Astyanax mexicanus: one gene and its partners. The protein of the gene in region 3 purifies or fractionates together with the protein of the main gene of each other region. This does not show direct contact. Links are inferred from orthologs where the notes say so. Each region holds a gene or a part of one and is shown on either strand. Other genes may lie near its edges.

Region 1 (10,942 bases), on a different chromosome or scaffold from region 3:
TGTGTTTAACAACAATTCCCAAACATTTAGCCATTTTTGCAAAACAGCCTTTAAATTTTGAAACTCACCTTAAAGCCACAACGTATAGATATAGATTCACATAAAGCACATTTTACATATGAAGCAAAACTAGGGATGCACCGATGTGGGAATTCTGGGCCAATGACAATATCAGATATCATTTAATAAAAATACATTAAAATTAGCTTAAATCAGTGGTTCTCAAACTGTATACATGTACCATTGGTGGAACATGAAGCACACCAAGGTGGTACACCACCAAATAAATATTTTTAATGCATTAAAAACAAAAGTTTTCCCAGGAAAATGCATGCGAGTACCAAGGAATGTCCAAATCACTGGAACTTAAGAATTTGCCTGGTTTCATTGGAGATCACCACATGTTGTCAGAGTTAGATTGAAAACGTAATAACGTTATATATTTCAATAGCACCAATTTATTGTATTTCATGTCAACATCAGGATATCCAACAGCGTTATTATTATTATCGGTAATCCCTAGTTTGCTTGCATATGTTCCTGTGGATGATTTGTAGGGTGGTACTTTTTGGTTTGATTGTGAATGGTACATGATCAAATCAATGGTTTTAAAACTAGAATGGTCAATGTCGGCCAATTGTAGTTATGCGGCCAGCATAGCTTGGTTCTTTTCTGGCATACAATAAATACATCAGCAAGTGTCAGTTTGAAATATATGCCAAAAAAGGGCAATTATCCGCCAATACCAATATAATTCCAATACCTTGTGCATCCCTATACAAAAGCATCACGGAGGTATTCATTTCGGTCTAGCAAGGTAATGCACTGCAAATAATCACATTTATTTCCTATGGAGTGCACTGGAAAGCAGTTATAAAGTTGATCATTAAAAAACAAATGTGTCAAAATATTGGTTTGCACTGTTCAAGAAGTGACTTCCACACCCAAATCCAAGACAAGCCAAACCAATGCAAATTTATCATAGTTTACTTTACAATTCCCTGGAACTTCAGCACTGCAAGACATTGAGCACTGAACTGAAGCATTTTATAAGGTTTTCAAATCATTGTAGATCGTCAAACATGTTACAGTGTGATTGAAATGATCACGCTTTGCACTTCTGAGTTTGAATTATGAGCAAAATCCTCAATTGCAGCTTTAAACAGATCTTTGAACAGCTTCAAAAAAGTGTTTACCCAATAAACCATTAGCTGAGGTGCATGAAAACAGACAGTGAGATCTCCTGAAAGAGTAATTCATTCTAAACTAAAAGCTACGCAAATGCTTACCTGTACAATTAGCGGCGCTTCGTTACTAGTTGTGGACGTAACCCAAGCCAATCTTGACGGCAAGCATTTAAAATCAATTCTCGACTGCAATAAAAGAATAAATGGAAGCAAAAACATCAATGCAAACAGCAAGAAAACCAGGAACGCCCAGTATGCATCTTGTAGTACACCATTCAAAACCAGCATTTTCCAGCATTTAGTACAAAGAGGTCTAATTCAGCACATGTTTGGCTAGCTGCAAAAGCCACAGCCAATTTTGAAACTGGTAAAAAGCATGCATTTTATGTAATTCATATTAAACCCAGCATAAACATTCAGATTTGAGATAACAAAAAACAAATAAACACAAAATCAAAGCACATCCACATTATTCAGTCATGAAAACGCAAATAAGAAACAGGATAAAGCATTTTGAGAAACACAAATCAATCAATAAGATTTAATAATAATGTGTGTATTTATCAAGGTCTTGATATCTTTAGTGTGTACCCCTAAATAAAACAGTGCAAGAGGACATAATTGTTATAACTGGAACATCCTTGGTTATATCTGTACAACAGATACATTCAGGACCATCTCCCCTCACCAAACTTCTTACGATTCTTATTTCTTAAACACAAACCAAAAAACAGATCATCACACTGTTGCCAAACAAGTCTGTATTACAATTCTACTGTTAAATAAGCAAATTCAGTCCTAAATTAGAAATGGCGCAGAAATAAATAGAGGACAAATGACCATAAGCCAGCTCACTGTCTACACCAAAACATACGCACACTGCGATTGTGGATTGTGTATAAGCACCAATTCAACCACTATTTTGATGCCGCAGTGATTTCAAGCCAACCAATAGCGTGGTGTAAACAGATTTAAAATCAAAACCTGATCGTCTGTCTTCAAACGATTAGTGCTATGGATACGATACACAAGATAATTCAACGAAAGACTACAGAAGGCCATTTTAGCTTAATGTGACAAAAGCGACACAAACCCAAACTCTATTTTTACCAGTAAAGAGTCTAATTACAGATCTGTAATGTGGTTTCTACTAGTAGAAGAATGTAACTGGAGTTTTTACTAGTATAAATGTAATTATAGCTAGCTTAGATATAAGTGTGAAATCCCGTGTAGCTAAATCAATGATAACATTTGACTATATGTGGCCCTGATAATACAACTGATATTATTAGCGTTAATGGCTTGTAGGTGGTTCTACTAGTATAAACTGCTTTAAATAGACCTGTAATCCGAGATTTTACCAGTAAAAACCTGTCAATGGTGTCATTCTAGGCTAGAAGCAGACAACAGCATTTAAAACAATCACCCACCAGCAATAAAGATAAAGTAAAATGCATTTTTCAGAACCAACCAACCAGAAACAAAATGAATCAGACCGAATTAAAACCAACAAGCTGGCCACAGAAACACAATTAAACCGAATTTGACACTCTGAGAGAAGGAGAGTACATATTGCTCTTAAGTGGAAAACAAACCAGTTGGCTACAGAAATACACTTACACCGAATTAAAACCAACCAACAAACAGGATGCATAAATACATTTAAACCGAATTAAAACCAACCAACGGGCTATAGAAATACAACTAAACCGAATTTAAACCAACCTACAGGCTACAGACATACAACTAAACCGAATTAAACTATCCAGCTGCCACAGAAATAAAATTAAACCGAATTAGACCCTCTGAGAGGAGAGTGCAGTGATATTAGGTGGAATAACTTTCTGAATCTTTCAGTACAAAACAAGAACCAGTGAAAAGAAGGAAATTTAAGAATCTGAAAGGAACAAAAATACAAATATTCATCCCAAAAGCAGCGGAGCGACACAGAAAGGCTTCCAAAGAACGAAAATCTGACCAAATAGAGCTGAATAAATGGAAATAGTTCTGAATAAAGCTAAATAAAACTACACAATGCTGAATAACAGCGTAATAAAGCTTAAAACAACTGAATAAAAGCTAAATAATGCTAATTGCAGCTAAATTAAAGCTGTATAAAACCTGAGGTAACTCAGACTGCAGATGATTAGCGTTAGCTAGCTAAGCTAGGCTAAGCTAAGCTAACTAATACCAACAAAGAGACAAAATGGCGCAGAGCAGCAGCAGCAGGTCAGCTAAATAAAGCCCTAAAACACAGATCCAGCTCTCAGTAAATCACTAAAACACCGATAAATCAGATCATATAAACCCCCCGGACTGAACCACAGAACCGGGTCAGCGCTGGAGCCCCTGAGCCCGCTGTAAGCGGGGTGATGTGTGTGAGAGTAGCGTCGGACTAGTGCCCGGAGCTCCGCTGGGTAAATGGCGGCGGAGCGGCTGTAGTACAGTGTGAGTATTAGAGAGTATATATTAGAGTTCTGCAGTTCTGCGGGTCTTACCGAGTTTATCTGCTTTTAGCGCAGCTCTACTGATTCTGCTCTGTTTACCCGCTCGATTTATCAGCAGGAGCCGGGCTCTGGATCTTCTGTACCGCGGGGTTCTGCTCCCCTCAGCTGCAGGATCATCTCTGAGTAAAACCGCACAGCAACCCCCCCACCATACCCTATACACACTTTACACACACACTACACACAGCGACCCGCAGAACTACGCCCTCTAGCGGGGCCAGTAAATATACCTCTATCAGACAGACAGACAGACAGATAAACAGATAGATAGATACTACTCAATTAAGTAAAGTTAAGAAATAATTTAAGAAAAAATAATGGTCAGTCAATCCAAAAAGAAGAATTATTTTTTTTTGAAAGTATCCTCAAGTGCAGTCGCAAAAAAGACATCAAAAATGTTTTGATGATGAAACTGGCACTCATCAGGAAACCACCCCCAGGACAGGACGCACAGTAGTTCCCTTGCTCTTATTTAAAATCAACTCTCGACTGCAATAAAAGAATAAATGGAAGCAAAATCCTCAATTGTAGCTTTAAACAGATCTTTGAACAGCTTCAAAAAAGTGTTTACCCAATAAACCATTAGCTGAGGTGCATGAAAACAGACAGTGAGATCTCCTGAAAGAGTAATTCCTTCTAAACTAAGAGCTACGCAAATGCTTACCTGTACAATTAGCGGCGCTTCGTTACTAGTTGTGGACGTAACCCAAGCCAATCTTGATGGCAAGCATTTAAAATCAATTCTCGACTGCAATAAAAGAATAAATGGAAGCAAAAACATCAATGCAAACAGCAAGAAAACCAGGAACGCCCAGTATGCATCTTGTAGTACACCATTCAAAACCAGCATTTTCCAGCATTTAGTACTAATTGGTCTGTTGCATCAGAGAAAATGCCAAGATGTGCAAAGAGATGTCTTCTTTGAACAATCTAAATTCTGGTTTGTTTAATAATTTTTAGTTGAGACGGAAGTGTAGTTGTTTTTCCACAACAGCAGAAAGACAGACATGTCTCTCCAAACCATCACTGATTGGTGGAAACTTCACACTAGACCTGGAGCAGTTTGGACTGTGTGTCTCTCCACTCTTCCTCCAGACTCTGATCCCTTGATTTACTTTAAATGAAATGTAAAATTTACTGATGATCAGTGAGGGTTTGGAGAGACATGTCTGTCATCTGCTGGTGTTGATCCACTGTGTTTTATTATCAAGTCTCAAAATCTTACAGCACTTCATATCTTACAGCTTCCCTCTGCTGAAAACAACTTTTATGGAGATGTGGATTTCATTTTCCAGCAGGAAAAAAAAGTAGACACACTGCCCACACTAATTTTCCGAGACACTGATTTTTTTATTGTCTGTAATCCATAATCATCAAAAATAAAAGCTATAAACGCTTAAAATAGATCACTCTGTGTTTAATACATCTATATAATATATGAGTTTCATATTTTGAACTGAATTACTGAAATAAAGTAACTTTTCAATGATAATCTAGTTTTTAGATGCACTAGTACTTGCTGTGTTTAATATATATAAATATATATAACAGCTGGGTCATGTTTAGAGCGGTGGCGCCCTCTAGTGGCTTCTGTAGGAAGCACACAGAGTGCTCTGTGGCTGCTGTCGTTATTACAGTACATTACGTTATAGTATATTTTCTACAGAACAGGAATAAACTTAATTTGCTGCTTTAAGTTCAGTCAAAAAAACCTTCATGATGGAACTGGCCCTCATCAGAACCGCCCCAAGAAAGAAAGTCCAAAGCTTCGCTGGGAATCACTCCCTTTTACAGGAATAGTGCACTGTATAGTGTGCCATAGACTTAAAATGTACTTCTAATTTAATTCATTTTTAATTATTTATTAGTTTTAGACATACTATATGGCGAGTCTGCCCACTTTCTGTTTTCCTCGTGAAATCAGTAAATCACTGTTCAACTGCTAGAGGCCTTAGAATCTCATTCCCACGACTCTTATTTAACGTTACACGTGTAAGTATCTTGTTCCCATGCCTTAATAAGTCATGGCCATGACTTTTTTATCTTATTCACACGACTTACTTTATTCACACACATAAGGATCTCGTTTCCACCCTTAATAAGTCGTGGCCATGCATTAGGATCTTGTTTCAACGCCTTAATAAGTCGTGGCCATGCATTAGTATCTAATTTCCCCGCATTAATAAGTTGTGGCCATGACATATTTATATCATTCACTCAACTTACTAATTTCATTCACACAACTTGCTTATCTCATTCACGCGCATAAGGATCTTGTTCCCACACCTTAAAAAAACTCACCTTTATAGGTGAATTTTTGTATATATTTTTATATATCCGCTGTAAATTTAGTGTTTTTGTGTACAGAGCTGTTTTATTTTATTTTTGTTCAGGTACTTTAGGATTTCTGCTAAATTTCGTTGTACACTGTGCAATGACAATAAAAGTATCTTATCTTATCTAATAAGTTATGGCCACGACTTACTAATCTAATCACATGACTTATTTATCTTATTCACATGCATTAGGATCTCATTCTCATGCTTTAATAAGTCATAATAAGTGTCCATGCAATATTATTTAATCATTTTTTTAACATGATGTCACCTAGTTTAACATTGTTTGTGTAATAAATAATTCTGCATGTGTTCGTGTATAGCTTTAATATAGTCTTTAATATTAAATTTATATTAAATTATGTTCAATTTAATCTATGTAAAAAATCATAAAAATAAAAAATAAAACAGTGAATGAGGAGAAGAGGCGTGTCCAAGTTTTTGACTGCTACTGCAGCTAAGGACTTTTAATTTGAAATGTGTGTTTCTGTACAGGAAGCGGTCAGGCGCTTGTGCGCATGCGCGTGTTGGTAAGCGCGTGGAGCTGTGTGGCTGTGCCTAGTGTGTTTACTGATTTTACTGTGTTTATATGATTTAATATATTTAATATAGAAATATATTATTATACAGCAGATCTTCAGTTTGTAATATAAAGCGCTGAGGAGCGGAGAGCAGCATGGTGAGAGCTAAAAGGTAAGATATGAGTGTTTAATACTGTTTTATGGGTTATTTAATAAATTTAAGTTTTAGTGCAGTATCTGCAGTGCTGTGTGATCCAGACAGTATAAAATGTTTTATTATTTTATCTTTATCTTATCAATGAACTTTATTACTGCAGTTCTTCTTCTCCTGTCAGATTAACTCTAATTCTAATTCTTTTCTTCTCTGCTGAAACTGAGACTCAGTCCTTAATCATGTTAATCTGAGCTAAAGGCTAAAGCTGCTGTTTCCATGTGGGTCAGCCAGACGTCTTCCTGTAGCAGTTTTTATCTCCAGTTTATTACTGATACTATTATTCATTTTGATACTAACTGATAATCTGCTTTAGTTTAATTTAATTAGTTAAAGAAAATCACCTCCACAGAGCCCAGCTTCAGTCATTAGCCACCCTAACCCTGATAGTAAGGAACATTTGTTTTGGTTGCATTAACTATGCTAATTACATCTTTTAAGGGTTTCTACCATTTGATTTATTTCACAAAACGTTTAATCATTAAGTGTTGGGCAGTTTGACCAAAATGCATATCACTGTACTTTTTAAGATTCTGACGGTTTCACGTTATATCACAGTATTTTTTTTTATTTTTTATCTTATTTATTTATTTATAGTTTTTTTTATAGCATGACTGGGCTTTTATACAGGTTTGTGACTCACTGTACTGTTAGGAGTACATATAATATAAAACACTAATGCTTTAATGCTTTAATTGGCTTTACTTGGTCCCACAAAATATATAAACAATATATGAAGAAATCAGATTTCATTAGCAGAAAAAAAACACCTGAAAAAATGTGAACAATAGACTTAAAAATGTGGACGACTTTTACACGGCTTCCTTCACTAAACTAAATCATTAAAATAGTTCAATAAACAATATAAATGGATCTAAAATACTCAGTGTTTAAGTATTTAAAAGAGATATTTCTCAAAAGCACTATTTATATTGATTTACAATATGTTTTTATTGAAGCCATTAGAGTATTAAAATCAGCGACAATGCCCTTTCTTTCTCCAGTTAACAAATACATTAAATTTGGTTTATTTTTCCTTCCAATTATCCTTAAAGCTACAGTATTAATATATTTAAAAGGGTTAAAAGGTTATGGTTACTGCTCTTTAAGTTTATTTGCACCTCGTATCCATAGTTCTATGGAGTTTCATTACTTCTGCTGAATAAATAATTCTGTATTCTGTAAGTTAGAAATGTGTATATCTGTATCAGTGCTTTATGAATTGTAATCGTAATTGTTATTCATATTGTATCACCAACCACTTTATCTCCTCTCTCCTGCAGGACGGTGCGAAGGCCGAGAGTGAAGCGAGTGGAGGAGTACGACAGTGATGATCCTGCAAAATATAAAAATGAAGATGTTCCTGATAAGGTACTGTCTGTACTGTCTGTGTCGGTAACTCCTGTCTGATTAGATCAGTCTGATTAATTAAATGAAAATTGCAGTAAAATACCTTATATGTTAATATTTGAGGAAAAATGGTTAGCATAATTATTTTACTTAATTCCTGGTTGTATTTGTCTTTTTTTCTTTTCAGAAATCTTTAAAGTACACAGAAGATAAAGTAGACGAATTCCACAACAAAACCATCTCTGTGAGTTACGGTACTTTTTACTTTACAGCTTCTTTTATCTTGTAAATAACTGTGAATAAACTGGTAAATGGTTGTGTGTAAGTGTATATGTGTGTTAGTCTTTTATGTACTTGTTGTTTTATTATTTGTAATTATTTAACCCTTTCAGACCTGAATGATGTTCCACTGATGGAAAAATAAAAAAACCTGGGTTTTCTGTATGTAATGCACATAAGGAAGACCCTAATAGTCTATATAGTCTATATAAAATAAAAATCACAAACCATCCCTAAACATGATTTAAAGTGCTCTAATCCAGAGGGCACTAATAGGCGGAGCGTGGTTCGGGTCTGGACCCAGATGTTGTCCCACGAGGATGCCTTAAATTATTGTGCACTAAAAATGAAGTAAAACTGTTAAATTTAGTCTGTTTGTGTTTCAATAAAATCTGGTCTTTCATTCTTCATATAAATTGTCCATTTTGGCCATAGTTTAGCAAATCTTGACATTTGCAGCCTAATAGCGAATGTAATTTTTTCCATTACATATATTTAATTGACTATATTAATCCATTCTTCCATTTCAATGCTGTTTTTTTTTTCAGTGCAATAAATGGGGCTAAGCTACTGTTTTATTTGTTGTAATAAATACAGGGTCTGAAAGGGTTCATTTTATTTGTAATTGTTGTAATTGTTAATCATAGAGTTCAGTTTTTAATCTGTTTAATAATGTGATGTGTTACAGTAGGTTAGATGTGTGTTAGTTGAGAGTGTATATATTGTATTAATCTGTATGTTTTGTTGTGTTTGTTGTGTAGAAGCTGTTGGCGCGTGGCGTACGGACAGATAATGATTATGAAGATGAAGCGGACGAGGTAATCAGATCTTCTCTCTTTTTTAGATGCACTAATATATTTTATTACAGTGTACAGTATGTTATTACTGAAGCCAGTGAAGGAAGTTCTCCACAGTTCTTCAGTTTCTTGTTACGCAGGAAGATGGTTGGGTCAGGTTTTCATATATAAATATATAGTAATAATTTGTGATCTGATTAGGAAGAGGTGATGCCCCTGACACTACAAGATTCAGACGATGATGAGGATGATGAAGAAGAGGACGGTGATGATGGTGATGAAGAGGGAGAGACGGATATGGAGAGTGATTTGGAAGGGAAAAAGGATGACGGTAAAAGGATATATAGTTTTATGTTTATATTATAATGTTCATTCATTTTTTTTTTTTTTTGTCATAATTTTATGTTCTTACGATACGTTTAAAAACGAGTTTTCTGAGTTTTGAGAATGTTGATAATTGGTAATGATGTTTTTATTGTTAATGTTTGTGCAGATCTGCCGAATGCCATGGCCTGGGGGAGCAGGAAGAATGCTTTCTATGATTCTGACTATACGACTACGAGTAAGCACTTTCAGTTATATCATTACTCTTACTTTATCTGAGTACTTATTTCAGTTACGAGTAAACTAACTAGTAAAAGTTACTATTTCCAATACATTAATCAGATTAAATGTACTATTGTTGGAATTTTATCTTTAGTAAAAATAATATATATATATATATATATATATGTGTGTGTGTGTGTATTGTTTTTTTCTTTTTGTGTCTCTGGGAGGGATGTCTGGTCTGTGCAACAATTAAGTCACATTTTCAGCCATTAATCTGATGAACTGGATCTTTTCCACATGTTTTTTTAATAAATGAGAAGCTATGTTAGTCTGATTAATTGGATGTAAATTGCTGTAGAATGCATTAAAGTATTGAGAAACTATACATTCGATTAAACATAATTTTTATTCTCCTCTGTAATGAGATGTACATTCACTCTCATTAACTTATTTAAGTACTGATAATTTATAATGAATTTATAAAATGTTTTTATATTTGCGTCGCTGTTTTTAGAGAAGAAATCGTTGGTGGAGACGGAAGCAGAAGATAAGGAGGAAGAAGAGGAAGCTAAAAGCATTCAGAGACGACTTGCAGCCAACCTGAGCGAGGAAGACTATGATCTGAATCTGCTGCAGGTAAAATATATAGACTTTTATATATAACTTTTACATCAACAATAAACAGAATAGTAAATAAAATAACATTGCTGTTCCCGTAAATGAGCTGCTGGAGCTCCTTCACAGCGTCAACCAGCAGCTCAGTTTCCTCTGCTGAGAAGAGTTTGTTGAACACGTCCAGGTAGCTGCACCTTTACAATAGCAATCCACCAAAGACAGAGCTCACCTGATCTACTCTTAAAGAGAATGATGAGCAAGAGACACTCTGATTGGGTTATTATTTCACGTTACGCCCAAAATTAACCAGAATTAACCACACCCACCATTAATTAAGATAATTAGTATTAAAAGCATGACTTTTGTGTGTTTCGAGCTGCGCAAGGTGTACTTTTCCCGTCGTTCTGATAGCGAAGACTCACTACAGCATCTGTCTGTGTCGTCAGGAGTTTGCGGTGGAGGCTGAAGATGAGCAGACGGAGGAGAGCGGAGAGAAACAGCAGAGGATTGAGAAGGACCTGGATCAAATGTCTCAGAAGGAGAAGCTGAAACTGCTGAAGAAGGAATCTCCTGAGTTACTGGAGCTCATT
Region 2 (10,052 bases), on a different chromosome or scaffold from region 3:
AGAAGATTTATGTTCCCAGCTAATGCGTTTCAACACAGACTTAACAGCTCAGAACGTGCTTTCCAACTGCGTATTCCCTTACAGAAGAAACGTATGGAATCTCACACACCATGCTGGCCTTCTGCCACCACACACACACACACACACACACACATATACACACATACATATACACACACACATACATATATACACACACGTCATGTGCCTCCGGCCTGCTGTTGCTCTTTCCAAGCCCCTGCCATGCTGCAGCATTCTCCGCTAGCAATTAAAACTCACAGCCACTTTGATTTTGATGTGGGCAATTTAACTAGTGCCCCATAAACGTGGATGTTTTTGCACAGAGCGCTGTTGTTTTGGCCGTTTATTTCTTTTAATAAGTTGGAAAGCACTTCAAGAAGAACTGCGATCCGAACACATGCCGTCCAGCTGCAGCAGGTCAGCATGAATTACATGAATTATCAGCCGTAATGCTTTAAGAGGGCTGGCGTTTTATTGAGCTCTGCGCAGAGCCAAAGTACGTCTGGACTCCAGAGTTTCTGTGTAAAACATCAGGCTTGGGATGCAACAGTTATTTAATGAATTAAATTCACTGAGCAGTTTCTTAAAACAAGCGGACTATCTTCAATGGACATCAATGACTGAAGAATAAACGCTGTAACAGCCGAACTCCAAATAAATTGTGAATTATTCCATTTTCCACATGCTTATTGTCTTGAGTAAAGCTAAGCAGTTGATATAAATAATAATAGAAATTAATAGCAGACAGTTAGCTTGGTGCTAACTGCATACCTCACACATTAGCTATGTTACGAAGCCTAGTTTGCAGGTCAGGTATGGGCAGCATTGTCTCAGAAGGCTGTTTTAACCCTTGTGTGGTGTTCGGGTCTGTGGGACCCGTTTTCATTTTTCATCAAATGATACTAAAAAAATATTTTTTCGAACTCAAACTCATTGGCATTGGCTCATTTTTTGTGAAAAACATATATCAAAACACATTTTCGATAAACACACACTGTACACCCACCTACCCCCCCTACACATTTATATTACATACAGTATGTTTGGCCAAGGGCTAATAAACATTGCTTCATTTGTAAATTTGAAACGAAACAAATTTTCTACTCATATCTTGAGTTTAATTCATTTTCTTTTACATTTTATTAAAAAACTAATAAAAAAGAGTAAATGTAACATAAGAAAGGTAAAGGGCAAATACTAACCATGTAAGCTGTTTATATTGCTTGCAATTTAGGTGAAGGAAGCATGTGTAAAGCATTTTAATGTAAAATTGCTTAATTTTGCTGAATTAAATACAAGTAACAAAGTAAACGAGTAACAAAAATATGAACACCACACAAGGGTTAAGTGAGAAACCCTACATATGCAGCCTAGAAAAACAGCTTACATTCAGAGCTTTTGAGAAATCAAATGGTGCAATACCAATAGAGTTGTCAAATAATAAAGTACAAATAAGTAGAAATATTGGTTATCTATGCTTTACTGGAGTATTATATATATATATATATATATATATATATATATATATATATATATATATATATATATATATATATATATATATATATATATATATATATAATTATCTTTCAAATAACTTTCTCATCCTATCATTTAAAAAAATATGAAATGATAAAAAAGCTGAAAATTTAATTTCAGCTTGTTTTTATTCCTTTAAACCTATCCAGATAAAAATCTCCATCCAGATAGAGTGTGGAATCTGATTGTGGTTGGATGAGTGTAAACCATGACTGTCAACGTTAAAGCATTAATGCAGTTGATTAATTTGGAATCAGTAATGCGTTATATTTTTTACGCAATTAATTACACCACTTTTTAATGTCTTCAATTGTGCAACAATGTTGCACTAGAAAAAAATCATAAAAAGAAAGAAAACACAGGACAAGAGGTGTGTCCAAACATTTGACAGGTACTGTATATACATAGAGTCTTAAATATAAAAAGAGCTTTATAGAAAGCAACATGTTTTTTTATGTAAATTCTGCTTTATTGATTTATATAGAGGAATGTTGACCTGTTGATAAAGGTACATACAGCTTCAATGGTACAGCTATTTATATGGATGGTCACAAGCCATCTAACAAAACTGAACTAACTGGATTTTTTTGCACCAGGAGTGGTATAAGGTCACCCAAAAGCAGTGTGAAGGACTGGTGGAGGAGAACATGCGAAGATGCATGAAAACTGTGATTAAAACCTAGGGTTATTCCACCAAATATTGATTTCTGAACTTTCTTGCATTATTTAAGGTCTGAAAGCACTATTTTGACCATTTCTAATTTCTTCAAATAAATGCTCTAAATGACAATTTGTGGGGGGGGGGGAGAAATTTTATAAGAAGTTTATAGAATAAAACAACGATATTAATTTTACTCAAACATATACCTATAAATAGTCAAATCAGAGAAACTGATCATTTTTGAAGTGGTCTTTTATTTTTTTCTTAAGCTACATATATCATATATTGTATATATCATATATTGCATCTCCACATGGGACCTCTTGACTTATTTGAGGGACGTGTAAATAATCTGTTCACCTACACAAACATTAAAACACCTTGGAACGCCGGAGCTGATGCCTTTGGGGGGATAAATACCCCTCTGTAAGTTGGCACCGGACTCTATTGTTCTAACCTTTGGTGCGTTTATGACTCCGCTGTAAGCACTGAAGTGTGTGGGTTCATTCGTTTCACTGTGTCTTGTTTTGGCTGGCGGCCTGCCACGGTGTTATTAATAGGCACCCTAATCACTGGCAAGGCCTGCACTTTAAAATCCCTGTCCTCATAATCAGCCACCATATGGTATCAGAAGCTGGAGGGAGGTTACGCAGCGAGCAGCGGGGAAAATAAATAAATAACTGTAGAAATAAGGCTGAAACATGCACCGTATTTGGTAACGGCGCATGTGTTTTGGTTTAAAGGGAATGGAATGATTTTCACTGATCAAATCAATTGCATATTTTCCTGTACTCACTCAAACACACACACCCATACAGCAGTTAGATCCCTACAGAGGTCTCATATCAGATCTGCCACAATTCCCTGGTGAAGAGTAAAGCACCGAAAAGTTTCCATCACCAGAGAAGACTGTGTTTTAGTGGCCCTTTGATACAAAACTACATCATTACATCATTAACATTACTTCATTTAAACATGCCTACAGATTGTCTAGCTTAGAATGAAGAGCACATTTGTCTATTTATTATAATAAATAAATTATTTTTTTACATTTTTTTTATTTATTTACAGACATTAAGAAGCAAACCCATTTCACCACTTGGCCCTACCACACAGCCCTAGGGTGCCCTAAGGTGTCCCAATTCTTGTTAGGCTGGATGGGTAGGTTAGGGTTAATGTACCCTTTAAAAAAAAACTTGAATTTATTGTATTTTAGGACTATAAGGCACACCAGATTATATGGTCCACTATCAATGAATGTCTATGTTCTTACATAAGGCACTGCAGATTATAAAATGCATTAAGCGATACTAGTAAGGAACAAGGGTGTCGCCATGTTTCCCTTCTAATGGGGAAGCTGGGGGGAAGTAAACAAAATTGCAATTCTAAAAAAAAAAACATTCACACAAGCGCTGGATGTTAATCCACAAAGATTTCTCTCCTGAAAATGCTTTATTTGGGAGAGTAAAGTGCTTCAGTTTATTTACAGTGAGCTTAGATTTTTCAATATTTTGTATAAGGGTGAAGTGAAGTTTCTTCAGCAGCATTAGCATTAGCCACTTACCGCAGTGCTAGTGAGAAATAAGTGCCGCCTGATAGCACTAGACTGAGGAAGTCTGTGTGTTCTGGTAGCGGTTCATAACATGTAGCTTGTTTTAACACAGTAAACACGCAGACTACAATCCAATATGCTCACCTCTGAATGGCAAAAGAGCTACTGCTGTGGTTAGCGGCTAATGCTAATACTTCTTCACCCAGCCTTAGTTCTGGAGAAAATTCACTGAAAACTCATCCTTATAACGCTGTACTTCAGCAGAGTGGCTTTACTGATCCTTAATACCTGACTGGTAGAATTTGTACATAAGGCGCAGAGTTAAATTTGTAGTCTATTATTATACTATCTGATTATTTTGAGATATTTAGTCATTATGTTGAGATAACTAATTCATTATTTTGAGATACTGTCATTGCATTATATTCATTATATTCATATTCATTATTTTGAGACAGTAAATCATTATTTTGAGATAATAATTCATTATTTTAAGAGACTAAATCATTATTTTGAGATAATAATTCATTATTTTAAGAGACTAAATCATTATTTTGAGATAGTAAGTCATTATTTTAAGATAGTTCTTAATTATTTTGAGATAGAAAGTGCTATTTTGAGATACTTATTCATTATTTTCAGATAGTAAGTCATTTCATTATTTTGAGGTAGTAAGTCGCTCTTTTAAGATATTTATTCATTATTTTGAGATACTAATTCATTATTTTGACATTGTAAGTCATTATTTTAAGAAAGTTCTTAATTATTTTGAGATAGAAAATCGCCAATTTGAGATACTTATTCGTTATTTTCAGATAGTAAGTCATTTCATTATTTTGAGATAGTAAGTCATTATTTTAGACACTTCATTTCTTTCTTCAGTAAATATTTATATAATGTACTGTATAAATTTAGAGTAAATGAATAATACAGCAGTTGGTTACAGAGTGATGCTAAAGCTGAACACGTGGTTTATTGGGAGTGTAGTTCTCCTCCAGGCCGCCGGGCGGCGGCGGAGCTGCGGGTAAAAGGTAAACACAGCAGCGCTCGAGCTGGGAAACACGTGTTTAGTAAAATGGGGAAAAGGAGGCAGAAACAGCAGGATTTATGGAGTCTGAGTAAAAAACAGAAGAAGCACCTGAAGGAGTTCGGAGAGGAGCATCCGTTCCATGATGAGTAAGAGCTGCTGTGCTTTATTTACACAGTTTATTCCTGACTGTTTGCTCCTCTTGTGAAACACTGCAGCGGATACCGGCTGGGGTCTTACAGTATGGCTGAATATGTCTGATTCCTCAGTAGAGAGCTGCTGGCTGACTTTTTCTCTTATAGCTGTCCAGACTGACTCATTAAGCAGTGTAGAGTAGTGGAGCCACTCTGACAGAATAAATAAGATAACACTACTGCCTGAGGTTTATCTGTGTTAATATTAGCCTTTAGCACTTTTTCACAATTAAACAGGAGGCTAGATTACTAACCTTATATTCAGACATGCCTTGGTACCTCAGAATCATCCTTCAGTAGGCAGCATTTGATAGGATTGAGATAAAGCCAGTGCATTTAATACAATTATCTATTATCTATCTTGTTTAAACGAGAAGATAAAGACATTGACCTTATTAACGTATTAGTTTTAGTAAAATTACGTGACGAGATGTAAACAGCTCACTTTATTTCTGTGCTTTTTGTTTTAGTGTTCCTGACAGACGAGAAAGAACACAGATTGTTCGTTTGGTGAGTACCAGCTAAAGTCCCCTCTATTCGTAATATTATTAGAATAAATTATTTATAAAATAATAGAAATTATTTTATTTTATTTTATTTTTTTAGAATAAGTGCTTTGGAGTGTATATACACACGTGAACAAAATGTTTGATACCCCTCCGTTAACGAAAGGAAAATCCACAATGGTCACAGAAATAACTTGAATTTGACAAAAGTAATGATAAATAAATATCCTATAAAAATGAACAAATGAAAATCTGACTTTTTTTTTCAATCATGCTTCAAATGTATGCATCTGAATCATTTTAACCCTTGTGTGTTCGGGTCTGTGGGACCCGTTTTCATTTTTCATCAAATGATACTAAAAAAATATTTTTTCTAACTGAAACTCATTGGCATTGGCTCATTTTTTGTGAAAAACATATATCAAAACACGATAAACACACACTGTACACCACCCACACATTTATATTACATACAGTATGTTTGGCCAAGGGCTAATAAACATTGCTTCATTTGTAAATTTGAAACTAAACACATTTTCTACTCATATCTTGAGTTTAATTCATTTTCTTTTACATTTTTACATTCTTTTAGCACTTTTTGAAAGAAATGTAGCATAAGAAAGGTAAAGGGTAAATATTAACCATGTAAGCTGTTTAAATTGCTTGCAATTTAAGTGAAGCAAGCATGTGTAAAGCATTTTAATGTAAAATTGCTTAATTTTGCTGAATTAAACACAAGTAACAAAGTAAACGAGTAACAAAAATATGACCACCACACAAGGGTTAAAAAGTAAACTCATGATGGTACCCTTAACTTAAGATTTTGTTGCACAACCTTTTGAGGCAAACACTGCAATCAAACGATTCCTGTAACAGTCAATGAGACTTCTGCACCTCTCAGCAGAGATTTTGGCTGACTCCTCATGAGCAAACTGTGCTCCAGTCATCTCAGGTTTGAAGGTTTGCCAGTCGGCATGTTTCAGCTTCTTCCAAAGGTGCTCAGTATGATTTAGATCAGGGCTCATCTTGGGTGTTTTTATCTGTGTGTATTGGGTCATTATCCTGTTGACCACATGTAATTTGGCAAATTCCAGTTTGTGTTTTGATTTTAACAAATGTGTCCTCCTTGGTCATCTCCCATTAAGTTTTCTTTGGCTCAAATAATGACAAATTGTGTGATCTGATACTTATATTCCTTGAGCTTAAAGTTTACCTTTAATCTCTTTAAATGTTTTTTTGTCAATTTACCTTATGCAGCCACATCCAGGGAGGTTAGCTACAATCCCGCTTATTTAAAATTTCTGAATAATATGTGCAGCTGTAGTCACAGGAACATCAAGCTGCTTTGAGATGGTCTTTTACCCTTTACCTTTAACATAAACTCTAGTTATGCGTTTGTGATTGTAGGCCTGGCGCCATTGTTTAAAAAAAAAAAAAAAAAAAAAATATTTGGCCAAACCATAGACTGAAACAATAAAAGTAGATTAGCCTATTCAAGTTAGTCATACAGATAGTTCAAGAGCTTTAGCAGTATTTTAGATTTCTTTGGTAATGTGGCTTTATGACAAATAAAGCTATGTATGTTTAAATATTGCTCTTTCTCTTCACAGCCCAACAATCCTGAACACTCAGGCTCTGAGAGTGATGAAGATATCGACGAAGAAGGAGTAGAAGAAGAAGAGAAACCCTCTGCATATCAACAGCTGCTGTCAACTATGAACCGCAAAGCTGATGATAACAGTGAGGAAGAGGAGAGTGAGGAAGATGATGAGGATGATGAAGATGGTGTAGAAGAAGAAATGGTCAATCCAGATGAAGGTTTGCTTCGTAATAAATCATGAAATTCACTATATTTGCTGTGTGAGGTTTTTAGTTTATTTTTAGCATTAGCACAACATGGCTATTGTAGTGAATATGTAAATTTATGAAGCTAGCACTCTGTGATAGAATTTCTTGTTGCTGTTTCTGATATTGTGATGTTGATAAGCTTGCATTACTTATTAGCTACATTAGCATTGTAGCTCCAGAATAAAACTGCAGAAGCTTCAGGCTAGACCTGTCACAATAGCTTTTAGGCGATTTGTTTAGGGCAATATATTGTTCCAGAATAAATTGCGTTAAAAAAAGAAGTTGCATTTTAAAGACCATTTTATGCCAATGATATAATGATATTGTAGCATATTAACACAGGTACCTTCATTTTAAGCCCAATTTACTTTTTATTATTAAGAATTTTCAAATAATGAAAATGGATTATAATCTACAGTACCAGTCAAGAGTTTGGAGATTGTGGAAACTTTACGTTAGACCTGAAGCAGCCTGAAGAGCTCTCCACTCTTCCTCCAAACTCTGTTCCCTTGATTTCCAAAAGAAATGCAACATTAACTGATTATTAGTGATACTAGGAGAGACATTTCATCTGCTGGTGTTGATCCACTGTGTTTTATTATCAAGTCTAAAGTCAGTGCAGTTTTGTTTTCCCAGAAAATCTTACAGCACTTCATGCTGAACCTCTGCTGACAACTTTTATGGAGATGTGGATTTCATTTTCCAGCAGGACCTGGCACACTGCCAAAAGTACCAATTGGCCTTGATATATAATATTCTAATTCTCTGAGACACTGAAGTTTACTAAATAATCTCATAGGTTTTTCTTCATAATTTGGATGAACATTTTAAAATATTGAAAAAAAAAAACTGAATTTAAAGTGTGTTTAAACTTTTGACTTCAAACACAATGAACAGCAAAAATAATAAAGATCTAGGCCTGTCACGATAAGATTTTTATGTGGACGATATATTGTCCCAGAAATGATTGCGATACTCGATATTTTTGTAATTTAAGGACTATTAAACGCCACTGACATAATGATAACAGAATAACATAAAACTAAGTAATAATAAATAAATAAAAAATACAGAAAAGCAATAATACACCTTTTAAAGACTACAAAATTTGAATTAATCATTTATTATAATTAATATTATAATTAGGGAATTACATACTTATTGTTTCACCTATTTTAGTCCACTTTTTGTGTATGCAGTCACAGTTATTGAAGCATGACTGGCTAAAATACTGTTTATTGTTGAATATGTGAACAAACATACAAATAAACACAGTAGACGATATCGTGATTATCCAAAAATATTGAGGTCATGTTCATTGATTGTACAATAAATCGATATTGCAATTATTATTACAGGCCTATAGAGGTCACGTTCATATATTGTACAATATGTTAATTGCATAGTTATTATGACGGGTCTACTTCAGACACATTTTTTTAAATATAATAATATGCTTTTTTTTATTAATGTTTTCTTCATAGTGGGACCGATAAATCATACCGTTCTTAAGCCATGCTCATAAATGCTTTTTCTTTTTCTATTTGAAAGTAGATGATGATGATGATGATGATGATGATGATGCTGAAGAGGAGGATGCAGAAGACAGTGATGAGGATAATGAGGAGGAAGAAGAGGAGGATGGAGAAGAAGTTGAGGAGGATGAGGAGGAGAATGGAGTAAATGATGAAGATGAAAATGCCTCCAAAGAAGAGCCAGCTGTGGCTGGAGAGAAGAAAGGAGAGGAGAAGGGGGACGGAGAGGAAGAGCTGGAAGGAGAGTTTATAGACAAATCTAATGAAGAAGACTTTTGTCTGGAGTCCAACCTGCCTGCAGAGGAAGAACAGAATGAGGAGAAGAGTGATGGCAGCACAGGGGAAGGTAAGAGAGCTGCTGTGAAACATTAAAAATATCATTGCTGCCACACAAAAACGCATTAAAATACATTAAAATGCAAGTCTAAACTCTTATTTAGAGATTCATGAATACCAATACTGGTACTGGGTGTTGACCCACCACGATATCAGTATGAGGTACACAGATAGTGATCTTATACCTGTGACTAACAGTTATGTTGTGTTTTGCTAAACAGATGCATTTCTGAAGCACCAGGAGACAGAGCTGAGTGATGAGCAGGTGAAGAGAATCTCTGAGGGCTCTAAGATCAGGACTCAGGTTAAGGTAGGACACCATTCAGCCTGAATTATCCAGTGAAACCTGGGTTTTATAAAAGGATATTTCTAATTTTACACATTCCAACATGAGTCCTGACATGCGTGAGGTTTATGTGAATTTTGTTTGTGGTTTGTGACACTGTGGGTCACTGTTATCTTTTAAAAAGTAGCTTCTACTGTTTCTATCTGTGTTCTATATTTCTGTGTCTATGTTTTAGTCATACATACAGTGTCACAAATCATAGGATTAAGTCTGTTACAGATTACTGAACACTTAATGTAATGTAAAGCCCAGACTTTTTCGCTTTTTTTTTTTAATCACAAGTAGGGGTGAGTTATATGGCCCTAAAATATCATCATGATATATATTAATGATACTCTTTGGTATATGACAAAACACTAAATTTAAAATATATATATTTCAAGAATACACTAGTGCCACAAAATTAAAATTCAATTTTGCTATTGCATTCGATACGATATGGCACACCCCTAACTAAGATATAAAAAAAAATACAAGAATTGTATCA
Region 3 (10,545 bases):
TTTAAGACCATTTTAAATAATTAAATTAAATTATTGATAATGCAGTGGCATTATAATGGCCAAAAAATGGAATATAAAATATTTAAATGTTATAAAAAAAATAATTCTTTTTTTTAACAAAGCCAACATTAATGTAATTAATCTATATATCATACAGAGTATAATATAGTAAACATATAGTGTCATTATAGAGACTAACAAAAACATGGCATGTTTAAAATGTTTGAAATGGGCATTAATCAAATTTACAATTGATTAACATATGCCATAAAACATATAATAAAACAGCAATTTTTCTCATGAAAAAAAACATTAATTCTTTAGAATTGTATACATTCATATGAACTATGAGCTATTTCCAATTTAATAATAAAGGCTTGCTCATGTTTGATGTTGTGAAATATGGTTTTATTTGGGTGATAAATATTAATCTTTGAGAATTGCATACATTAAAAAATACGTATAATTATATGATCATTTGCATCTATTTACAGTCCATTTACTGTCCATTTAAACTAGTCAAAATTGTTCACAGTGGGGAAAACCTGTACCAGTTTAAAGCCTCTAAAAGCTCCTTTTCGTAAAGTAACTACACCAGATGGTTATGAATGCACTGCCTGTTGCTTGAGACACAGTTTTACCAGAGTTTTCAGAAGAAAATTCATTCATTCACTCACTCACAGTGGAAGGATACATGCAGGGCCACAAAAAAATAGTGCCTTAGGGGTTAATGGGGTTTAGATACCTAAAAAAATGCAGCAGCTACAGGAATGCTAACTAACAGGGTGAGCACCCGACCTGTCAATCCAGAAATCAACAGAGAAAGACAGTCAGTGTTTGTGTTCTTTACACGCTTTCGTATTTCAGTGTTGACAGGTCTTGTGAAGCGAGCTGTTAGAAACTACGTCTCCTTTGAGCTCCTGAAATCAGGAATTCAATCCACAGTAATGCTACAGATATCCGTCTGTCTGTCCTCTGTCTTTATTTTGAGTGTCTAGGACAGTCCTCTCTCTCTATAACATAACATAGTGTGGGCGATGTTAGCCAGTGAAGACCTTTGTTAACTGTAATAACAGGTGATCGCTAGTTCGAATCCTGGTTATGCAGCTTGCCATCAGCTGCCGGAGCCCTAAAAGAGCACAATTGGCTTTGCTCTTTCTCTGGGTGAGTACAGTACATGGCACTCTTTCCCCTCATCACTCCTAAGGTGATGTGGATCAGCACAAGGCTGCATCTGTCAGCTGATGTATCAGAACCGAGTCGCTTATATTAAATCTCACCAACTGAGCATGTGCAGTAGCCTTTAGTGCAGAGTAGTTGACTTAGCCTCGACTAGGGTTTACCTTCAATTTGTACAATTTTTCCAACACAGATTATTTATTTAAACCTACTTTTAACTAGAAACTTTTATTTTAGGGTGCAGTTCAATAGTTATTGTTCAGCTGACTCAAAAATCACATTAAGGAGAACAGTTTTAAGTTTTATACATATGTGTAAAAATGTCTCGACATTTTGAGTTCTCTCAACTTTTTCATTTTTACAGTGTAGCAAAAAAATAATTACCATCTCTCCCTGGAAGACCAGAGAACAAAACTGAAGCTCTTTTTTGTTTTGGACAAATAATGAGAAGAACAATTACTCATGGAACAGCTAGATGTAAAAAGAGGAAGAGGAAGAGGATGAGCAACAACACGATTAAATTAGGACATAAAAAAGTCTGAGGTATCTGAGATAAAGTCTGTACAAATGTCAAAATCCAACATTACTCACAGGGATTAGCTAGTGGAGGAAGGCAACATTTGAACTCCTGCTTCTCATCCTGGATAACAGGTTTTGTAGAAATAAGGAAATGACGCATCAGAGATATCATAATATATTGTAGCTACTATGCAAATTCACGGCATATGCAAAAAACGGCATACGTTTAACAGAAGGAACAAACCCTAGCTTTTAATGGATGTCAGTTGCAAAAAAATAAAGTTATTCCAAGTTGTTTTGGAGCATTTCTATTGGCCCATTCATGATGAAATTTTGATACAGTACAAAAAAAAACTCTGTTAACCATAGGATTTTCTCATTTTAGTGAGCTATGGTTTATTAAAGGTTGAATGTATGACGTTGAATCAACGTTGCTATATCCTATTAACGTTGATATACTTTTTAAAATCAACACCACATCAACGCTGATTAACAATGATTTAATGTTAAAATGCCAGCTGGGTTATTTACTCATTATCAATTAAGAGAAGTGAGGCTAGTAAGGTCACCACTAGAGAGTTCAATACCCCAGGTGGATATTAAAAGCAATAAATAACAGCCCTTGGGCAAGACTCCTAACTCTCCATTATCCTGCATGATTATAAATTACTCTAAAGGTAAGCAGTGATGTTCGATACCACCGATTTCCTTTTCGATCCGATACAGAGTATAATTCAATCTGGTATCGGCGATACCAATCTGATACCGATACTGTGTGCAGATACACCTAATGTGTCTGGTAATTCTTAAAATGTAGTGAATTTCAAATCATAGCTTCAGAAAAAATACAAGATATCCAAATAATGTATTAATTTATTTTAAATTGCATTGCATTGAATGAAATCCTATTTAGATTTAACTATGCATGTAGTCTCTTCAAATAGCCTACGATAAGGGAATACAAACACTTGCTGTCTTATAATACTAGGAGATCGAACTGAAATTTTTAGTACAATTTTTAGTTAAATAAATAAAGAAATGCCACAATAGTTCACCATGGCTGTTTTATCACAATTACTATAATTTAATTGCAGCTAGTATATCAATTAAACAATCAATTCTTTAAGAATTAAGGCATTTTACTTTAATAAATCATCTCAGTGATACACATATTTTTACTCTAAACTTACTCTAAACTTCCTTATTTACTTATTTCATTATCATATTTGTTAATTGCTTACGCATTTTGCACTGACCCAGGCAAGATCTCCATAGTTTATTTACTTTCCACTGTGTTCCTGTTAGTGATATATATTGCCTCAAATGACTGAAGTATCAAATGTATTGATATGTTGATTTGAAAATCGTAGAAAATTTTAGAGCATAAAGATCTGGTATCAGAGGTATCGATATTTCAGTATCGATCTGCACATCACTAAAGGTAAGTGACTCTAAATGTAATAAAGGTAAAAAACACTTACCATTGCAAGTGGCATCATCATCATCCTCATCATCATCATCGTTATCATCATTGTCTTAGAAGAAGTTTCACCGCAGAGCCCAACACCTTCTCCTTCTTCTCCTCATACAGACTTCACCTCCTCAGACAGTTTCTTTCTACTCATGTAACTAAGAGTAGGAGCTCTTGGCGGACCTGTTCGTAAAACCTGCCCTCAGTTATGTGCTGTCAATTCAGCAAAACTCCCAATCATCTGTCACCAGTCACACCCACTAAAGCACACCACATGCCCCGAGGAGGATATGCTGGAGTTTTGCAATCAGCCAGCCGGTGTGAGGCTGGTGTAGTCCAGCGTGCTGTTTACACACCTCCCAGTTAAGATGTTTGCACTGTGATTAAATAGTGCTTTATAATAGTACAATAGTTCAATAGCCCCAGTTCATACTGCCATAATCAAACACGTCCGTCCGTCCGTCAGTCAGAGAGGTTAGATGGTGGTGGTGGTGGCGGTGCTGTGTGGAGGTTATAAGGGCTCCAGAAACAGCAGAATCCCAGCACACACTGACTGCCTTATGCTGGAAGGTCAACACACAGCGCTTTTTTTATTTGGGAGAAGGGGAGCGAGAGGCCAAACAATCCCTCTCTCTGTGTGGAGGGTGCAGACCTACAGGGGCAAGCCAGCTTTAGGAGGTGTTCCCTTTCCCCACCCTCTCTCATCCTGCCACATGGACATCATGCCGGGCAGCTGCCCTCATCACACTGCCGTTTACACATAAAAAAGAGGACCTTCTCATATTAATCACATATACTAGTGGTTCTCAAATTGTGGAACGTGTACCACTGGTAGAACATGAAGCACATCAAGGTGATACACCACTAAATAAATGTTTTTAATGCATCCAAAATCCTCTGGAATATGATCAAGAGGAAGATGTATGATCACAAGCCATCAAACCAAACTGAACTGCTTGAATTTTTGCACCAGGAGTGTAAAGCATAAAGTTATCCAAAAGCAGTGTGTAGGAGGGGTGGAGGAGAAGAACACGCCAAGATGCATGGAAACTTGATTTCTGAACTTCTGAAGTTCATATTCATAAAGTTTTAAGAGTTCAGAATATTTGGCGGAATAACCCTGGTGTTTTTTAATCACAGTTTTTATTCATGTTCACTTCATGTTCTCCTCAACAAGTCTTACACACTGCTTTTGGATATCTTCATGATTTACACTCCCTGTGCAAAAATTCAAGCAGTTCAGTTTGGTTTGATGGCTTGTGATCATCCATCTTCTTCTTAATTATTTTTCAGAGGTTTTAATTTTTGCAGAATCAAGGAAACTCGTCTTTTTAAGTGGTCTCTTATTTTTTTCCAGAGCTGTATCTGGAAAATTAGGATTCCAACAATGCACACACACACACACACACAGAGTCTACACAGTGCTGGGCAGTTCTGTATGTCAGATACAGTAGATGTGTCAGACGGAGCCGAGGGTGGGGTGGACTGGCTGAGGTCTGGTTTGGCTGGTGCCGCTGGACAAGGCACTGGTCTTTCCCAGTTCAGGATTAGAAAAAGCCACATGCCTGAGCCATGCATGATGCCAGCAGTGTGAGACAAGCCATCTTTTCATTTTTTCATGTCTGTGTTTCAGTAATCTATATTAAAAGTTACCAGACTGATTGGAGCTAATCCAATCAGCCGAGAGGGGGTGCTTTTTCTGGCGGGGGTTTCCTGGCAGAACACTGGCTTTACACGTGAAAGCAATGAATCGTCCCCAGTCAATCCACACTTGCTACACCCTGTTGAGTATAAATGTTGTGTCCTTAAACTTTGATTGGAAGAACCGTTAAATAGAACAGGATAATGTGTAGTTTTGAGTTTTGTAATGGATGCTGCAGGTCCAGGAAGCCAGTTGGACCATCAGGTCCAGTTCTTCTAGTTTCTATAGAGGAGAAAGTTCAGCTCCATTGTGAGGGTAATCTCCTTGATGAAAAGCTCAGATGTGAAGGTATGGAGGCTTTAAAAAAATAAAACGAAACAGGTTTGACTGAACGTTTCTTTCTTTTCATAAGAACAGAGTAGAAGCTCATTTCAGAACAACAAAACAACCAATAAATTACAGCAATTACTCAGGTATGCAAAACTGAACATATGATTCATAACGTCTCCATTCTGTATCAACCTGAGAGTTATTACATTATATTTACACCTCAACTGTGCAAATTCACAATTCTCACGAGTCAAGAGGAGAGAAAAATAAACAGGAAAAAGTACAAAAGTAACAAAATATACAACAGAAAAATAGAAAAATGAAACAGAAAGAAATACAAAATAAAAAAGCAGGAACAGAGGAAGGGGATAGGAGAAAAAAATAGTAAAGAAAAAAGAGAAAAGTAAAACTGAAAAAAAAAATTAAGATAAAAATAAAAAAGAGTATGAAAAATGACAGAAGGGAGAAGGATGGGACTGAAGAGAAAGAAAGAAAGAAAGAAAAGAGCAACAGAAATAAAGAAAGAAAACAAGAAAGAAAGAAAAAAATAAGAGAAAAATTAAGAAAGAAAGAAAAAAATAAGAGAAAAATTAAGAAAGAAAGAAAAAAATAAGGGGACAAGAAAAGGGACAGGACATAGAAATAGAAAAACAAATGAGGATAAAAATAATACAAAATTGGGGGGACAAAAGAGTACTAAAAATGACAAATAGAAGGGAGAATGATGTGAATAAAGAAGAAAAAAGAAAGAAAGAAAGAAAGAAAGAAAGAAGAGATGCAGAAAAAAATAAAAGACAGAAAGATCAACTAAAGAGGAAAACAAAGAAAGAAAGAAAGAAAGAAAGTGAGCTAAAAAGGAAACAACACAAAATTAAAAAAGAAAGAAAGAATAAGAGAAAAAGGAGATAGAAAGATTAAAAAAGGAGTAAATTGGACGGTAGAAGGTGGAAATGGGGCTAAATGGAGAGAGAATAATAAAGAAATTAAATGCTCCTCCCGGTCTGTAGGGGGCGCTGTTTCAGAGCCGCTGTGTTTCTCCTGCAGGCGGCCATGTGTTTCTCCTCACTCACTGTAGTGTTTCTCAGACTCCGCTAAGATTAGCTCTCTCTGTTTCTCTGTAGTTTAGCGGATTTAATCGGTAAAATGGTCCGAAAGCTGAAGTTCCACGAGCAGAAGCTCCTGAGGAAAGTAGACTTTATTAACTGGGAGGTGGATAATAACCTGCACGAGGTGAAGATCCTGAGAAAATACCACATCGAGAAGAGAGAGGACTACACCAAGTGAGTGTTTATACTGAATATACAGATTCAGCCTTTTCCTCTTTTAAAATCTTTTTAAAATCTCAGTTTGCCTGTTTTACCTTGTCTAACTGTTCTCTGAAAACTGAACCAAAAGAAAAATAACAAACAAGATCCAGCAGATGACAGACATGTCTCTCCAAACCATCACTGTTCATCAGTAAATTTTACATTTCATTTAAAGTAAATCAAGGGATCAGAGTCTGGAGGAAGAGTGGATGGAGAGACACACAGTCCAGACTGCTTGAGGTCTAGTGTGAAGTTTCCACCAATCAGTGATGATTTGGAGAGACATGTCATCTGCTGGTGTTGGTCCAAAGTATGGAGATGCGGATTTCATTTTCCAGCAGTACTTGGCACACTGCCGACACTACCACAAGTACCAATTGCGTTTATGTAATATTATTATAATTTTCTGAGACACTGATTGTTGAGTTTTTTATTGGCTGTAAGCCATAATCATCAACAAAAAAGAAGAAATAAATTCTTAAAATAGTGTATTACACTAACTTTACAATAATATTTATTTTTTTTTAGATACACTAGAATAAGGGTAAGAAAATATTAATGTTATAATGTTAATGTATTATTTTTTTTAGGTACAACAAACTGAGTCGCAACATCAGAGAACTGGCCCAGAAAATCCGCGACTTGGATGAAAAGGACGGTTTCCGAGCTCAGAGCACCTCACAGTTCCTGGAGAAACTGTACGTTTAGGAACTTTCCTCACCTCCTCATCTGTAGCTGATATTCTGAACAGTGGAATAGTGTAAAATAATGTGTAAGGATGTGTTGTCTGATTCAGTTTTTTCTCTTTGCAGCTACTGTATCGGATTGATCCCCACCAAACAGAACCTGGCTCTTGCAGATGCTGTCAGTGCTTCCTGCTTTTGTAGGTGAGTGAGTGAGAGAGAGTGAATGAGTTTGTTTGTGTGTGAGAAAACAGATCATGATGTATAAGTAGGTTTACTTATGGTGCAAAAGTCATTTCAGTGTCATGCTACAGATTAATTCTAAGTATAATAGAGAATTGTGCTTGAAAATAGTGTAAAAGTAATGATTGATTTCTCTCTATTATGTCTGACCTGCAGGAGACGGCTGCCAACAATTATGCTGAAGCTGCGCATGGCTCAGAACCTGAAAGCTGCCGTCACGTTCATCGAACAAGGACGTATCCTTACTTACTGTTTTAAAGAGCTGGTTCAGTTTGTTAGAACCAGAAGAAATGGTCCTATTGAAACCATGAAGCACCAAAAAAGCGCTTTCACCAGTTCTTAATAATTCAGTTTGTTTTGATTTAAGGATGAACACAGTGTGGACAAAACACAGGCTTACCTGTCATATGAAATTAGAATCATGTTATTAGAAGCGTGAATTTGAATCTATATCATTTGAACCTGATTTCTGCTTTTTAGAATCTAAAAATATCAATATTTAACTTATAAAATCCAACTAGGTTACATAATTCTGATCATTAATTAGTATTCTTATATATATATATATATATATATATATATGATTATTACAGTTCCTTCACTGAATGGCAGATATTCGTGTTGGGCCAGAGGTCGTCACAGACCCTGCTTTTCTTGTTACAAGGTCAGTTCTGTTTTTATTCTTTTTCTCTTTTTTTTCTTTTTAATTTAGTCATATTCAACTCCAGCTTTCACGTGATATCATCAAACGCAATGCAGGCCAGTGAATACTTTTGTCAGTATAGTATATCTACAGAAACCTTACAGTTCCCAAGTTGGTGCATCCCAACTGTTACATATCTTGTTTATCCATAGGTTTATTTGCATTATTTATTTATTACCTCCACAGGAACATGGAGGATTTTGTGACCTGGGTGGACTCCTCCAAGATCAAACAGCATGTCATGAATTACAATGAGGAGGTATGAATGCTATGCTAATGTCTGTCCTTTATCCTAGTTATTGTGCTGGAAAAATGTTTGTGTGTCTTGTTTCTGTTCTCACAACAGTCTGGAATTAATATAAACGGTTCCCAATTGAAAGTTGCCTGTTTTTATAATAGTTTGAATGTCTGGCCTCATGTCACCTACTCTGGATTTCTGTCAATTGGTTCTGAATTAGATTTTAAGATCCATTTCCGCTCTCAGGGGATTAATCAGATTAGTACTTTTGTCAGTGTGGGCAGTGTGACAAGTCCTGCTGGAAAATGAAGTTAAACATGCAATATTTTTGGGTGCTGTTGTGTACAATAAACAATACACAATACACTAACGTTGCTACCTAGTATGATAAGGTTTCCAGCTTGCAATCTAATGTTACTTGCTAGTGTGCTAATGTCACTACCTCGCATTTACTTCTTAAAAGCAAATAAATAATGTCTTGTCTTTTTTTCTTTCTTCCTCCAGCGTGATGACTTTGATCTTGTGGTTTGAGGCCGAGGTTGGACAGAGGTTGTTGAACATGAGAGCCAAAGGAAACCTCAGAAGCCACTCTGGATCCGCAGTCAGCAGAGCAATGTGAAGTCAAGGCCGATACACCATGGACTGAATGAAGACTTTATTACTGAAAGGATTTCGCTTAAACATTGCAACCCCTGTGATTGCAAAGAGAGGCTATTAGCACATTGGTGATGTGTTATAAAAATATTTGTATATTTATTATACACTGCGAGGGACATTTTAGTACATTAAGAATTGCAAAAACATATTTTTTTGTAACAAAAATTGTACAGTGTGTGAAGAAAAAGCTTTCATTTTATGTTGGATTTTTTTGTTTTCCTTTAATGTTCTTGTAGCCAGGTATGGCTGCTAAAATAATAAATCTGGAAAGAAAATCTGTCTTATTTCAGTATGGATTGCATACCAGTATGACCCCGTCTCATCATATAGATTTACAGCAAACATACATACCTAGATAAATGTGAAGAAAAAAAGCAAAAGTTTGGCATGATATAGTTTGGTATAACGTGTGAATCTAAAAAAAAAAAGAAAACAGCTAGGTCAGCTTAGTTTATGACCAGCTGAAAGTTTATGTTGAGTTTGATGGTTTAGCTGAATAACAGAATGGCTGCCCTAGTCATGCTGATAGTCCAACTAAACCACAATTTCTTTATAAAATTATCATATAGTTCCCAAAAATTAATTTGCGCTGTTTTACATGTTGATAAGTTTAATCATTAAAAAATGAAATGATCAAATTTTATTATCGTTCATAATCTCTTGTGGGTTTGTGCCACCACAAGAGGGAGCACCTGGGTGATACCAAAATGAATGGATTCCTATAGAGCAATTGAACAAAATCATGTTTATAAAAGTACTAATTTTCTCAATACAGAACAATAGCAAAAGTTTAAGCATCGCAGACTCCAGCATTTTAAATCTATCTATCTATCTATCTATCTATCTATCTATCTATCTATCTATCTATCTATCTATCTATCTATCTATCCCTGTTCCACCTTAAGTCTTAAATCAATTACAGTACATGTACAGCAGCACACACACAGTACATGCTGTCTATCTATCAATTGATCTGTCTATATGTCTGTCTGTCTACCTATCTATCTACCTGCCTATATATTGAGGTGTATTCTGTACTATGGATGTTTATCACTTCTACAGCCTTCCAAGAACACCCAAAGAGGAGTCCACAAGAGACAAGAAGACACAACAATATCTATAAGCATGTCTATATATCCCTATGTCTGTCTGTCTACATATCTATCGATCTGTCTGTCTGTCTATTTCTGTCTAAAAACCTATCCATCCATCCATCCTGTTCCACCTTAAATCCTACTGCAATTACAGTACATTTACGGCAGCACACAGAACGTACATGCTGCTACATGCTGCGCCATTTAAGGTGGAACGGGTAATTACCTAAAAGAAGCCGATTCAGACTGGTTAAAACTGGTCAAAGCTTTCCATTTTATTTCGCGAATTAATGTGTTATTATCTATAATACTCCTAAAAGCCTAACTCTGCTTTTAAAGCCTAAGCAAAGCTTCGGGGGGTGAAATAACCCACCGCCCGGGTCTTTGTTCTCCCGCTCGATTGCTAATGTCTGGCTGCGATTCCCATGCAGGACACGAAGCTCCCGCTTCCCATAGCTGACCGCTGACCAGCAAACACG

Evidence for each region.
Region 1: the proteins of imp3 (region 3) and utp3 purify together in Homo sapiens (affinity purification with mass spectrometry; 3 studies listed by BioGRID and IntAct, with this or other methods). This does not show direct contact. The link is inferred for Astyanax mexicanus from reciprocal best matches to the Homo sapiens genes IMP3 and UTP3.
Region 2: the proteins of imp3 (region 3) and utp25 purify together in Homo sapiens (affinity purification with mass spectrometry; 3 studies listed by BioGRID and IntAct, with this or other methods). This does not show direct contact. The link is inferred for Astyanax mexicanus from reciprocal best matches to the Homo sapiens genes IMP3 and UTP25.

Annotation. Positions count from the first base shown.
Region 1 is NC_064431.1:34,112,351-34,123,292, reverse strand, and holds the start of utp3 (something about silencing protein 10), read left to right. Parts: upstream 1-6,554; 5' UTR 6,555-6,706; coding exon 6,707-6,723; intron 6,724-8,045; coding exon 8,046-8,133; intron 8,134-8,299; coding exon 8,300-8,356; intron 8,357-9,152; coding exon 9,153-9,209; intron 9,210-9,389; coding exon 9,390-9,519; intron 9,520-9,681; coding exon 9,682-9,750; intron 9,751-10,251; coding exon 10,252-10,373; intron 10,374-10,798; coding exon 10,799-10,942. UniProt on the Homo sapiens protein: Essential for gene silencing: has a role in the structure of silenced chromatin. Plays a role in the developing brain. Part of the small subunit (SSU) processome, first precursor of the small eukaryotic ribosomal subunit.
Region 2 is NC_064414.1:9,280,728-9,290,779, forward strand, and holds the start of utp25 (U3 small nucleolar RNA-associated protein 25 homolog), read left to right. Parts: upstream 1-4,789; 5' UTR 4,790-4,848; coding exon 4,849-4,949; intron 4,950-5,464; coding exon 5,465-5,504; intron 5,505-7,110; coding exon 7,111-7,318; intron 7,319-8,899; coding exon 8,900-9,229; intron 9,230-9,440; coding exon 9,441-9,529; intron 9,530-10,052. UniProt on the Homo sapiens protein: Component of the ribosomal small subunit processome for the biogenesis of ribosomes, functions in pre-ribosomal RNA (pre-rRNA) processing. Essential for embryonic development in part through the regulation of p53 pathway.
Region 3 is NC_064415.1:56,927,361-56,937,905, forward strand, and holds imp3 (U3 small nucleolar ribonucleoprotein protein IMP3), read left to right. Parts: upstream 1-6,152; 5' UTR 6,153-6,284; coding exon 6,285-6,421; intron 6,422-7,038; coding exon 7,039-7,146; intron 7,147-7,260; coding exon 7,261-7,335; intron 7,336-7,530; coding exon 7,531-7,610; intron 7,611-7,986; coding exon 7,987-8,038; intron 8,039-8,263; coding exon 8,264-8,336; intron 8,337-8,819; coding exon 8,820-8,846; 3' UTR 8,847-9,247; downstream 9,248-10,545. Other genes in the region: slc35a3b (solute carrier family 35 member A3b), read right to left, coding at 3,180-3,230. UniProt on the Homo sapiens protein: Component of the 60-80S U3 small nucleolar ribonucleoprotein (U3 snoRNP). Required for the early cleavages during pre-18S ribosomal RNA processing. Part of the small subunit (SSU) processome, first precursor of the small eukaryotic ribosomal subunit.